Canis lupus familiaris: one gene and its partners. The protein of the gene in region 3 interacts with the protein of the main gene of each other region in a pairwise test. Links are inferred from orthologs where the notes say so. Each region holds a gene or a part of one and is shown on either strand. Other genes may lie near its edges. The genes, in order: TFIP11, TMEM239 and COQ8A.

Region 1 (3,745 bases), on a different chromosome or scaffold from region 3:
CACACGTCAGTGGGGACGCAGAGACCACGGGAGTCACAGCGCGTGTTTCGAGAAGCTGGCAGTCGCTTGCCTTCCTGTGGGTTCTGGTTTCATTCACAACGGCGGGAAGTTGGATCCAGATCTTTGACTAAGAGCCGGGTGCGCTCCGTGTATTCTTAACAACTGCCGCTTGCACCTTTTCATCATAGGAAGGAGAGAGAAAGAACGTGAGCGAAGACTAGGGGCTGACACGCCTAGGCAGCCCTGTGCTTGCACATTTCATCTCCCCGGATCCTCAACCATTTTGCAGAAGAGGAAAGCGAGGCTTCCAGAGGCGCAGGGACTAGGGGGGCCCCGGGCCCGGGTGCTTGCGGGGTGCAGAGGCAGCCGCCACTCCCCGGGCGGCCCGAAGCCCTTGAGCCTCGGCCCGCGGGGCTCCGCACGGTCCTATCAATCGGTGAAGGAATGAAGGTCTCGACCACGGGCTGGGGGGCGGTTCCCGGAGGGAGCGCGTGGGGCCCTGGTCCGCCCGTCCCTGCGCTCTCAAGCTCCGCGCCCACCGCGGTGCTCGGCCAGGGGCCCCGACGGCACCCGAGACCTTGCTCCCGCCGGCAGCCTGGCCCCGCGCCCCGCGCCCCCCGCCCCGCGCCCCGCGGCCGCCCGCTGGCCCTCACCGCTGCCCCGTGCGCCAGTCCTCTAGCCCCTTTTACGCAGTCGAGTCTCAGACTGGCGGCGGGGTCCCCGCGGGCCGGGCGCGGCACGGAGGTCGGGGAGGTCGGGGAGGAGGTCGGGGAGGTCGGGGAGGTCCGGCAGCGCGCCCGCCGCCATCCGAGGCCCTGGAAGCCCCGCCTCCTCCCTCGCACTCGGCCCCGCCCCGTTGGAGCCCGGGACGCGCTCGCCCGTCGCGGCCGTGACGAAGAGCGCCCCGCGCCCGCCCCCGCCCCCTTGTACGTCATTTCCGGCGCGCCGCCGCGGGCACATCCGGGCTCCTGGCCTCCGGCCGGTAGCTGCGCTTGGACCCGGGACCTGCGGAGGTGAGCGGGGCGGGGGTGCGGGCAGCGGTGGGGCGTCCCCGCCGGCGGGCGTGAGTGCGGGGGACGCAGCCCCTCCGCGCAGCCTGCTCCAAGCCTGCTTTCGAGCGCCGTCGGCGCGGAACCGAGGCCCGGTGCTGCCCCTGGCTCGTCCGCCCCGCGCGGGCTCTTCGGGGGCCCGGGGAGGCCGAGGCGCTGCGGAGCCCCGAGTGCTCGGGGGCGCTTCCCTTCTGTGCGCCCCGCCAGCGTGGCGGGGGTGCAGTGAGCCGGGGAGCCTGGGGACTAGCGCCCGGACGCGCCGGCCCCCGCGAAGGCTGCTTGCCGCCCGCGGCTGTGGTGACGCCGCGACGCCGCCGCCGACCCGCCGGAGCTGGGGTTTCAGCAGTCCTCCCCGAGGTCCCCTCCCCAACCTACTGATAGTGGCGGTGAGGAACCTGATCTGGGGCTACCGTAACAGCCCTTGCTCCCGGAGCGTTTTTACTCTGAGCTTAGTATTTTAAATTTTTTAAGAAATACTTATTTGAGAGAGAACGTGAAGCGGGGTGGGGAGGGGCCGAGCTGGAGCGGAAGAAGCAGAGTCCCCGCCGAGCAAGGACCCCGAGGTCTTGACCTGAGCTTAAGGCAGATGCTTATCCAGCTGGCCCACCCAAGCACCCCTGAGCTAAGCGTCTTTTAGGCACCACCTCGTTTAATCTGGCTCACAGGCATTCCCAGAGGGTGGGGGTAGAGTCAGCTGAATCTCATCACTCAGCTACCAGGAGCTGAAATCTCTGTTAAGGTAGGGTTTATGCCTTCAGAAGAAGTTCATGTTTTGGGAGGAAAACTTTTAAGTCTTAGGGTCTCACCAAGTAATATACTTCAGGAAGCGTGTTCTAAAAACCATCACTCCCGGTGGTGAACCGCCAAGGGTCCAGATATAGTAACTCTTTCCTCATATTTAGTTGTTGTTGATCCTTCGTTTTGACTCCAGAGTAACTACATTTTTTTGTGAGATTGTAAAAGTACCATTGAAGTTACAACTAATTTAAGAAGAATGGGAGAAGGCCAGTTAGAAGCCTCAAATCTTCCAGCAAACATCTGGCATTCTGAGGTGACAGTGTCCGTGACAGGCGAGCCACCCAGTGCTGTAGAAGAAGAAAAAGAAACAGCTGAAGAACCGGAAAAAGAAGTCCTCCCAGACATCGTAGAGCCACTCTCCATTCTAGATGTGCTGAGGATCTCTGCGGTTCTGGAAGATACTGCAGACCAGCTCTCTATTCTAAACTATATCATGCCAGTTCAGTATGAAAGAAAACAAAGTGTCATCATGGTATTAAAAAAAAAGGGGGGGGGGTTCCAGGAAGATGCCCACCCCGTTTCTGAGGCAGTAATAAGTAGAATAACATACCGAGTTATTTTTTTGTGGGTTATTTAGGTGTGAGTGTGTGTAAAGTTTTATGACCTTGACCAGGACAGGGAATCGCATATTGTTGGGACCAGTCTTTTGTCCCACCTGTTTAAATAGTGTTTGTTTTCTGAAATATGTTTTTAATGTCTGCCTTATTGAACTGTTAACAATGATTTTTAATCATTGGGACTTTGAGTGTGAGGAAGTTTGAAGGGAGTGAGGAGCAGGGACGGAAGCCTACTGCTGCTCTCCCCTCAGGACTTACCACAAACCACGTGCCTTTTTTATTCCTTTCTTTAGTGACCTGTCATGTCACTGTCCCACTTGTACCGGGATGGGGAAGGCCACATGGATGATGATGACGATGAGCGGGAGAACTTTGAGATCACCGACTGGGATCTCCAGAATGAATTTAACCCCAACCGGCAGCGCCACTGGCAGACCAAGGAAGAGGCCACCTATGGAGTGTGGGCAGAGAGAGATTCAGATGAAGAGAGGCCCAGCTTTGGAGGCAAACGGTACTGGCCAGCATGAGACTGCTTCCTCCTCGCTTTAGGGAAGATGGGGGGTGGTGGGAAGATAGCCCACTAAATATACCTTTCTCCTGGCCTTACCAAGTCCTGTAGCTACGATATAAGCTAGGGAGGCCCAGCTTCCTCTTTGGCCGGAGTGCTGCTCTTTTGCTGATTTAACCATCACTTCATGTTTAACGAGCAGTTATATGTACCATGTCGTATACTGCAGCCCCATTCCTTTCCTTCTGGGAGCCCAGACGCTAGAGCATGGAGACACATTAATTGACAGCTCATACGATGGAAGTTTATAACTGATTTAGGACCTGAGAGAGAGAGAGTTTGGCCTATTCTGGGAGGTGAGGGAAGATTTCTCTAGAGAAGTGACTTTTGAGTTTCTATTACAGCAGAAGGTAATGAGGGTGGTAGGAGAGGCACGGGTATGCAGAGGCTCCTGAGGGGAGGCGGTGGGTGTCCACAGGGGTACAGAAAGCTTTGCAGGCTGCGGTGAGGGAGGGAGAGGGGGCATAGTTTGAGAAGAGGTCTGTGGTAGAGCGGATGATGTGGGCTGCACTTACCTTTGGAGAAGACCTGTCAGTGTGCAGAGTTGACAGGGAGCTGCAGGGGAAGAGGAAACTCCATGAGGCAGGAGAGGAGGATTCAGGCCAGTAGTCGTCCTCCCCAGTGTGAGAGGTCATGTGTGCAGTGGCCACAGCTCACTTGACCAGAGCGTGTAGCGAGTTTGGCTTTGTCTCTGTGTTTCGTCTGTGGTTTGTAGGCTCTAGCCCATTGACACTGTGCGTTTTTCACAAAGGAGGCTGGGGAGAAAGTATGGA
Region 2 (2,942 bases), on a different chromosome or scaffold from region 3:
TCAGGGCTGCAGTCCTGAAAATTCCCCCACAAGGCATCATCCAGCTCTCAGGGGAGAGACAGCTGCCGACAGGAAGATTGAATAATTGTCCCTGGACACAGAGCTCTGGGAACCCGCAGGAGAAAGAGAGCGGCCCTTCCTCTCTTACCCACGTGGTGATGGGGTTAGAATGCCTTCCTGGTAACTCAGATCCTCTTGGGGAGTCCTGGGGGCAGAGAATTCACCAAGGCAAGAGGATGAGTCTTAGTTCTCAGAAATCATGACTCCCTTCTGGCTAAGCCTCACCTAAGATACCAGCTGCTTAGGAGGTCAAAACCAGCCACAGCTCCCTCTGTACCCCAGAACCCCACCTGGCAATAGGTCACAATGTCCCAGCTGCCCAGTCCCATAACAGCTGACTGAAGTAGCAGGTGAGGAGGGTGTGGTGAGTGAGTGTGTGGGGAGGCGGAGATTCCCACGCAGTTTACTCTCGAGTGTCTGTCAGGGCCCCACCCGGTCCCACATACCTACCCACCCCAACTCCCTCCCAGCACTAGTCCTTCCTGTCATCTCCACCTCCCTCTATGACCCAGCTTTGCTTGCCCAGGCCCAAAGGCCCTGCTTATCCTATCCCAGTCCCTCCCAGGGGCCTGAGTGCTGGGGAGGGGTCGAATAGTCCAGTAAGTCCATGTATGTCTCCCTGGGGCCTTAGCCCGGCCCAGCTCTGGGACAGTGTCCTAGGGCTGGGGGCACTGGGACTGACAGTTCGGGCAGTCTTTTCCACGGCTGGCCCAGTCTTGCTGCTGCTGCTGCTGCTGCTACTGGTCAGCTTCCTGACCTTCGACCTGTTCCACTGGTAAGTGTGCAGCAGCCTGGCAGGTGGCAGGAGTAAGCAGGGAAACAAATAGTCAATTTCCGGAAGCCCAGCTGTCACCCTGTCTCTCCACAGCCCCGCAGGCCCCGTCCAACCACAGCACATACTTCTCACAGGCCAGAGTCAGGGGGCCGGTGAGGGCCCAGGACTGCAGGAGGCTGTACTCCTGCCTACGGTGGCAGTCACGGGACAACTCAGCCCCCAGGAGGCTCTGCTACTGCTGCTCCTGAGCCTGGGGCTACTCCTGGGAGCCTGCAGCGTGCCCTTGGCCCTGCTTGGCCTGGCTTTCTACCTCCATCCTTGGATCTGAGTGCCCTCCAGAAATACACTGGCAGTGTTGCTTCCCCAGATCGCCTTTCCTCTGTTGTGGGTGGAGCAGGCAGGAGGGTACCCCTTTATCTCCAGTCTGAACCACAGGGGACCTTCAGCTCCACAATGTGGACAGTGGATACCCGGGTCTGAGTCTGAGGACAGCAACAGAAGGTGAGCTAAGGGACGGGGGTCCCAGGGCAGGATGTGGCAGCCATCTCCGAGTTTGTGGGTTGGGAGGTGGCCATTCTGGCCTCCTCTGTGGTTCTAGAGTATCAGTGTCCAGAAAGACTCACAGGAGAGCAGAGTAGGACTGGATATCAGTTAGTAGGGTAGGAACCAGGATCTGGAGGGGGCTTCCCACAAGAAAGCGTGACAATCTGCATCAGTGGGCTCAGCAGCACCCCCTGGCAGCCTGGAGGGTCCGTGGAAAGGGATTCAGGTGAGTCTTACATCCTGCAGTGACTCCTCTCTTGGTTGGACCCCACCCCTACCCGGGTCACAATAGGGATCTGGTGGGGGGGAAGGGGGGACAGAGGGACAGCAGGGGCTCCACTCTGGCCGCTAGGCCGTCCTAGGTGCTGCAGGAAGCAACATGACTTAGGTGGTTCTGCCCAGAGGTAAGCCCCAGGCCCTGGCTCAAAGCCTCACCCCACCCGTGCTGGTACCCTCCTGCCCCTGCCTCCTGCCCCCCACCTGCCCTGAGGTCCCAGGCATCTCGGGGCTGCTCCTGCAGCTGGCCTGGCCCTCTCCCCAGGTGTACCAGCCAGGATGCAGCAGCCCCAAGTGGAGACGGGTGCCATCGGGGCCGGCGAGGGGCCGCAGCAGGCAGTGCCCTGGTCAGCCTGGGTCATGCGGCAGGCCTGGGTGCGCTGGTGCATGTGCCACATGCCTCGGAGCTGGGCCCAGTGGTGGACCACATCGGGCTGGCGGCAGCCACTCCAGCGTGTGCTGTGGGGGCTGGAGGGGATCCTCTACCTGCTGCTGGCGCTGATGCTATGCCACGCGCTCTTCACCACCGGCTCCTACCTGCTGAGCTCCTTGTGGCCTGTCGTGACTGCAGCGTGGCGCCATCTGCTGCCAGCTGTCCTGCTGCTGGTGCTCAGCGCCCTCCCTGCCCTGCTCTTCACGGCCTCCTTCCTGCTGCTTTTCTCCACGCTGTTGAGCCTCGTGGGCCTCCTCACCTCCATGTCTCACCCAGACTACACTCAGGACTTGGACCAATAGAAGGGCAACCCCATCCCGCTGCCTGTGTCTGTTGAGCCCTGGGGAAGGGGAGGCCCCAGACCTCCCATCCCTAGCACTGCTCGGGCCATGTGTGATGTTGCTAAAGCTGGCAGGGTAGACTAGCCTGACCTCTGGGCACCTTCCCCAAGCCAATGCTACAGGTACTTGGTGTGGGGCATTGGGGGCTTTGAGAAGGGACAGGGCAGAAGGGTTAGCCAGGGGCAGAGCTCGGCCAAGCCACTGAGAGTTCCCACAAGGCTGTAGTGACACCACTAGGGCTCCCTTAGCAACTGGCAGCAGCTTTTTCTTGTAGCTGCTCAGCTGTCTCAGCTGCGGACTCAGTTGAGAATTTCTAGTTCGGTAGCCCTGACTGGCCATTCCTTTCACTAACCCCCCAACCTCCGCTCTTTCCCCAGGCTCTAGAAAGAGCCCACTGACAGAAACCTATCTGGGAGAAGGCCGTCCAGAAGTCCCATGAGACCTCAACTAACACCTCTCGCTCCTTTCTGCTCAGGCATCCCCCACTCCCTAGACTTCTTCCCTTCTGCCTTGG
Region 3 (3,745 bases):
TTCAAAAATGAAGGACAAATTAAGACTTTGCCAGATGAACAAACACTGCCGGCATTCATCATTAGGGCACACCTGCCGTGTAAAAAAAAAAAAAAAAAAAAAAAAAATGGTGTCCTTCAGGCTGAAATGAAAGGACGTTAACTCAAATGCACATGAAGAAATAAGGAACCCTGGTAAAGGAAACTATATAGGTAAATAGGCAGCATTAATATATTTTTTGTTTGTAACTCTTACTTCTCCTGATTTTTAAAAAAAGACTTGAGAGAAAGCACGAAAAGAGAGAGAGGGAGAGAAGAGAGAGAGAGTGAGAGAGCGAGCGCACATGCAAGGGGAGAGGGAGAAACAGGCCCCCTGCTGAGAAGGGAGCCAGACATGGGGCTGATCCCAGGACTGGGAGATCATGACCCAACCTCAAGGCAGACACCTCACCAACTGAGCCACCCTGGGGCCCCTCTTCTCTTGATTTGAAAACGACCACATAAAGCAATAATGATAAATCTGTGGAGGTGGGCAGACAATATAAAAAATGTAATTGTATGACAATACCAAACAGAAGAGGAGTAGAATGGAATTATATAGGAGCAAAGTTTCTGTGTATTATTGGAATTAAGCTCCTATTAGGATCAGGATGTTAATTATACCCCAGGGCAATCACCGAGAAAACAGAAGGCGTGGCCACCCCTGTCACCTGCCACCATAGTTTAGATGAGCCCTGAGGACAGACTGCCTGGTCTGGCAGCCTGGAGGTCACAGGTCACAGGTGCAGTTCTGGGGGACATGCGGGGCGAGGGCTGACCAGATGGCTTCAGGCAGAATGGGAGAGAAGGAAGCAGAGAAAATGAATGCAGTTACTTCTTCCATGAGCTTTGCTGAAAATGGGAGCAGAGGTGGGGATGGGGCAAAGGGTGAGAGGTGGCTAAGCGTCATCGCAGGCTGGTGGGAAAAACATTAGGAAGCATTCTGGAGATGGCAGGGGGATTCCTGGAGCATCCTGCTTCTCAGCGGAGTGTCCCACCTGAGTCTTGGGTTATGGGGGGGGTGAGCATGCACGTGTGCAGGTATGCACACACACGTGGCACGACACTCCTATCCTGGGGGCAGGGGAGGAGGCGTGGGGGGCTCCGCGAGTCCCGGGCGGGAGCAGAGGGCGGGCGGAGGGTCCGTCCCGGGGCTCACACTCATCCCCCGGTCCTCCGCCCCCGAGCCGAGGGCAGGTGGAAGGTCCGGCCCCGGGCACAAGCCCACCACGCGGCCCCCCACTTAGGGAAAGTGGGCGCCGCCAGCCGTAGCGGTTTCCCAACTAGGGCAAAGGGCAGCGCCGAGCGAGGGCGGGAGGGGCCCCGAGCGCCCGGCGGCCCCCCATTGGACGCCCCTCGCTCCGCCCTCGGCTCTCATTGGCCGCGGCGCGCGCGCACGGGCCGAGCACGCTGCTCCGCGCCGCGCGGCGTGTGGCCGGGCACGGCGGCTCGGCCAATGGGAGCGCCCGCGGGGCGGGGCCGCGGCCGCAGGGGGCGGGGCCGCGGGCGGGGAGTCCGGACGCGGGCGGCGAGGTAAACAGATCCGGGGCGCTGGCGGCGCCGGCGCTGCGGCGGGCATCGCGCAGGCGGCGCGAAGGTGACCCAGAGCCCCGCTTCCTGCCGCCGGGTAAGGCCGCCGCGCGCCGCGAAGGCACGGCCGGGCTCGCCTTCCGCCTGCGCGCGCCCCTCCCTCCGGTGCCCCGCGCCCGGGCGGCTTCCCCGTGCCGAGGTGCGCCCGCCCCCGGCCCCGCTCCCAGTTCCCCGGCGGTGCTCGCTCCCAGGCCCGCCGCCCGTGCGCGGGGTTGGGCGTGCCGCCTGCTGCAGGCTCAGGCCGGAGCTCCGACTCCCGGGTTTCACAGGTGGGGGTTCGGGGTGGACTTGGGAAAGGGGGCCCTTCTCGCTCCTCTGCTCCGTTCGCTTTTCGTGGGCCCTTCCTCCTGCTTCTGCAAGCACTGGGGTCCCCGGAGTGCCTGAGCTGGTGCCTGTCCCTCATCCCAGCCCTCTGCCGCACGCAGTGTGTGCGCGGGCCCGGGGGGCCCGGGAGGCCGCCAGGCAGGTGTGGGCGCTGGGGCTCTCCACGTGGCTGAGGGGTGCCAGCCTCCTGAAGGGCGAGAGGCCCTCGGCTGCCTGTCAGCCTGTCCCGGCACAGCCCGTTGGAAAACTTGGGCTCGTTTGGGCCCTGGGGTGTGCGTGACAGAAGACCCAAGAGCTGGGCCTGCCACGCCTAACGGGTTGCCAGAGGATCCCAGCAGCGTGATACTCGCCTGCCAGTTGTCCTGTTGTGGATGGACAGGTCATCCTGGCAGGATGGCCCTTCTCCTGAGAGGGGAAGAGGGGGGTACTGTTGGTTCACAGGAGCAGTGTCCTTAAGACTCTGGTGGTGGCTCTGGGTATTTTGTTCAGTCTTCTAGACAGTGCAGGGTTATTACAATTTTTGGCCTGACCTTGGGCAGCTTGAGGGAAAAGTGACCCAGGTGATTTGAGCACTTCCTATGTGTCACCGCAGACAGGTTTCCCCGTCTTCAGACTATTGACATATGGACAGGACAGTTCCTTGTTGTGGGAGGGCTGCTCTGTGCATTGCTGGATGTGCAGCAGCATCCCTGGTCTCTGTCCGCTATGTGCTGGTAGCAATCCCCCACCCCAACCACACACACTGGTTGTTAGAGAAATCAGAAATTTCTCCAGACATTGCCAAATGTGTCGTAGGTAGCAAAATCGTCCTTGGTTGAGAACTATTGAGCTAAGACTATAAAAAGAGTCTTCTCATGCTGCTGGAGAGACGTGCTGGGACCTGTGAGTGAGTAGTTGAGAGGCTTAGACAAGAGATAGTAGTGTGCCCCCTGCCCTGAACCAGTGATAGAAGCCATGTAGACAGGCTTCAAAAGAGACCACTCCCCCCGCCCCCCCAACTGGAGGGAGAGGAGAGCCATAGGAGGTAGAAGCTCATGGGCATTGCCGGGGCCTGCTGGATGCGTGGCAGTGACGGTCCAGAGCGAACAGAAGTAGAAGCCTGGTGGTTTCTATCTTTGGAGACTTTGCAAGACAGTGGGGGATATGCATGTGGAGTAACCATGGATCAGTTTTAAAATAGTGACTAAACAAGTTTCAGGCTTCTGTATCTTGGCAGAAAGGTCAACTCCATTATCCACAAGTGGCTCTTCAAGGTGATGCTTTGGTCATCTTCTTGTGTCTTATGATGTGGGAGGGGACCAGCCCTGTGTGTGCAGAAAGTAAGTGGCTGCATTTCAAGCGTCTGTGTGGGGATGCTGACATGAGCTGTGTGCCCCTCATGAGAGGCACATGTATCACTTGTACAGTTCCTTTATGGGTGATTGAAATGTCAGTGACAAAGATGCAGAGAAAGAGGCTTTATTTTTAAGTCTAGATTTTGCATTCAGTCCAAAAGTTCAAAATTTATGTCCCAAAGTTCAAAGTACCAAATCGATGGGATGCAGAAAAGCTGAAAAACAGTGATTATTGCCTAGGGCAAGGAAAAATATCCCAAGCCCCGATCTCCCACGATTTCTGTCTTGTTAATTGACTCCTGTGGATGTGTATCAGGATTTTCCTGTGACATTCCTTGGTTTAGTTAGGCGGCCTTTTGGGTGCCCTTGGTTGCCAGTAGAAAAGGATCTGGACAGAGAGGTCACTTCTTCTTTCTCAAAACGAAGCTTAGAGAAGTCCAAACTTGGCAGGATAATTTTCCACCAAGAGCCATGGACACT

What was found.
Region 1: the proteins of COQ8A (region 3) and TFIP11 interact in binary tests that used the Homo sapiens proteins (3 or more experiments, as listed by UniProt). The two-hybrid records come from large-scale screens. The link is inferred for Canis lupus familiaris from reciprocal best matches to the Homo sapiens genes COQ8A and TFIP11.
Region 2: the proteins of COQ8A (region 3) and TMEM239 interact in binary tests that used the Homo sapiens proteins (3 or more experiments, as listed by UniProt). The two-hybrid records come from large-scale screens. The link is inferred for Canis lupus familiaris from reciprocal best matches to the Homo sapiens genes COQ8A and TMEM239.

The regions. Positions count from the first base shown.
Region 1 is NC_049247.1:20,595,492-20,599,236, reverse strand, and holds the start of TFIP11 (tuftelin-interacting protein 11), read left to right. Parts: upstream 1-960; 5' UTR 961-1,013; intron 1,014-2,697; 5' UTR 2,698-2,706; coding exon 2,707-2,915; intron 2,916-3,745. UniProt on the Homo sapiens protein: Involved in pre-mRNA splicing, specifically in spliceosome disassembly during late-stage splicing events. Intron turnover seems to proceed through reactions in two lariat-intron associated complexes termed Intron Large (IL) and Intron Small (IS).
Region 2 is NC_049245.1:18,897,837-18,900,778, reverse strand, and holds TMEM239 (transmembrane protein 239), read left to right. Parts: upstream 1-1,200; 5' UTR 1,201-1,336; exon of another isoform or gene 1,337-1,782; intron 1,783-1,919; 5' UTR 1,920-1,933; coding exon 1,934-2,389; 3' UTR 2,390-2,402; downstream 2,403-2,942. Other genes in the region: C24H20orf141 (uncharacterized protein C20orf141 homolog), read left to right, coding at 564-835, 929-1,163.
Region 3 is NC_049228.1:38,071,899-38,075,643, reverse strand, and holds the start of COQ8A (atypical kinase COQ8A, mitochondrial), read left to right. Parts: upstream 1-1,520; 5' UTR 1,521-1,644; intron 1,645-1,656; exon of another isoform or gene 1,657-1,746; intron 1,747-3,745. UniProt on the Homo sapiens protein: Atypical kinase involved in the biosynthesis of coenzyme Q, also named ubiquinone, an essential lipid-soluble electron transporter for aerobic cellular respiration.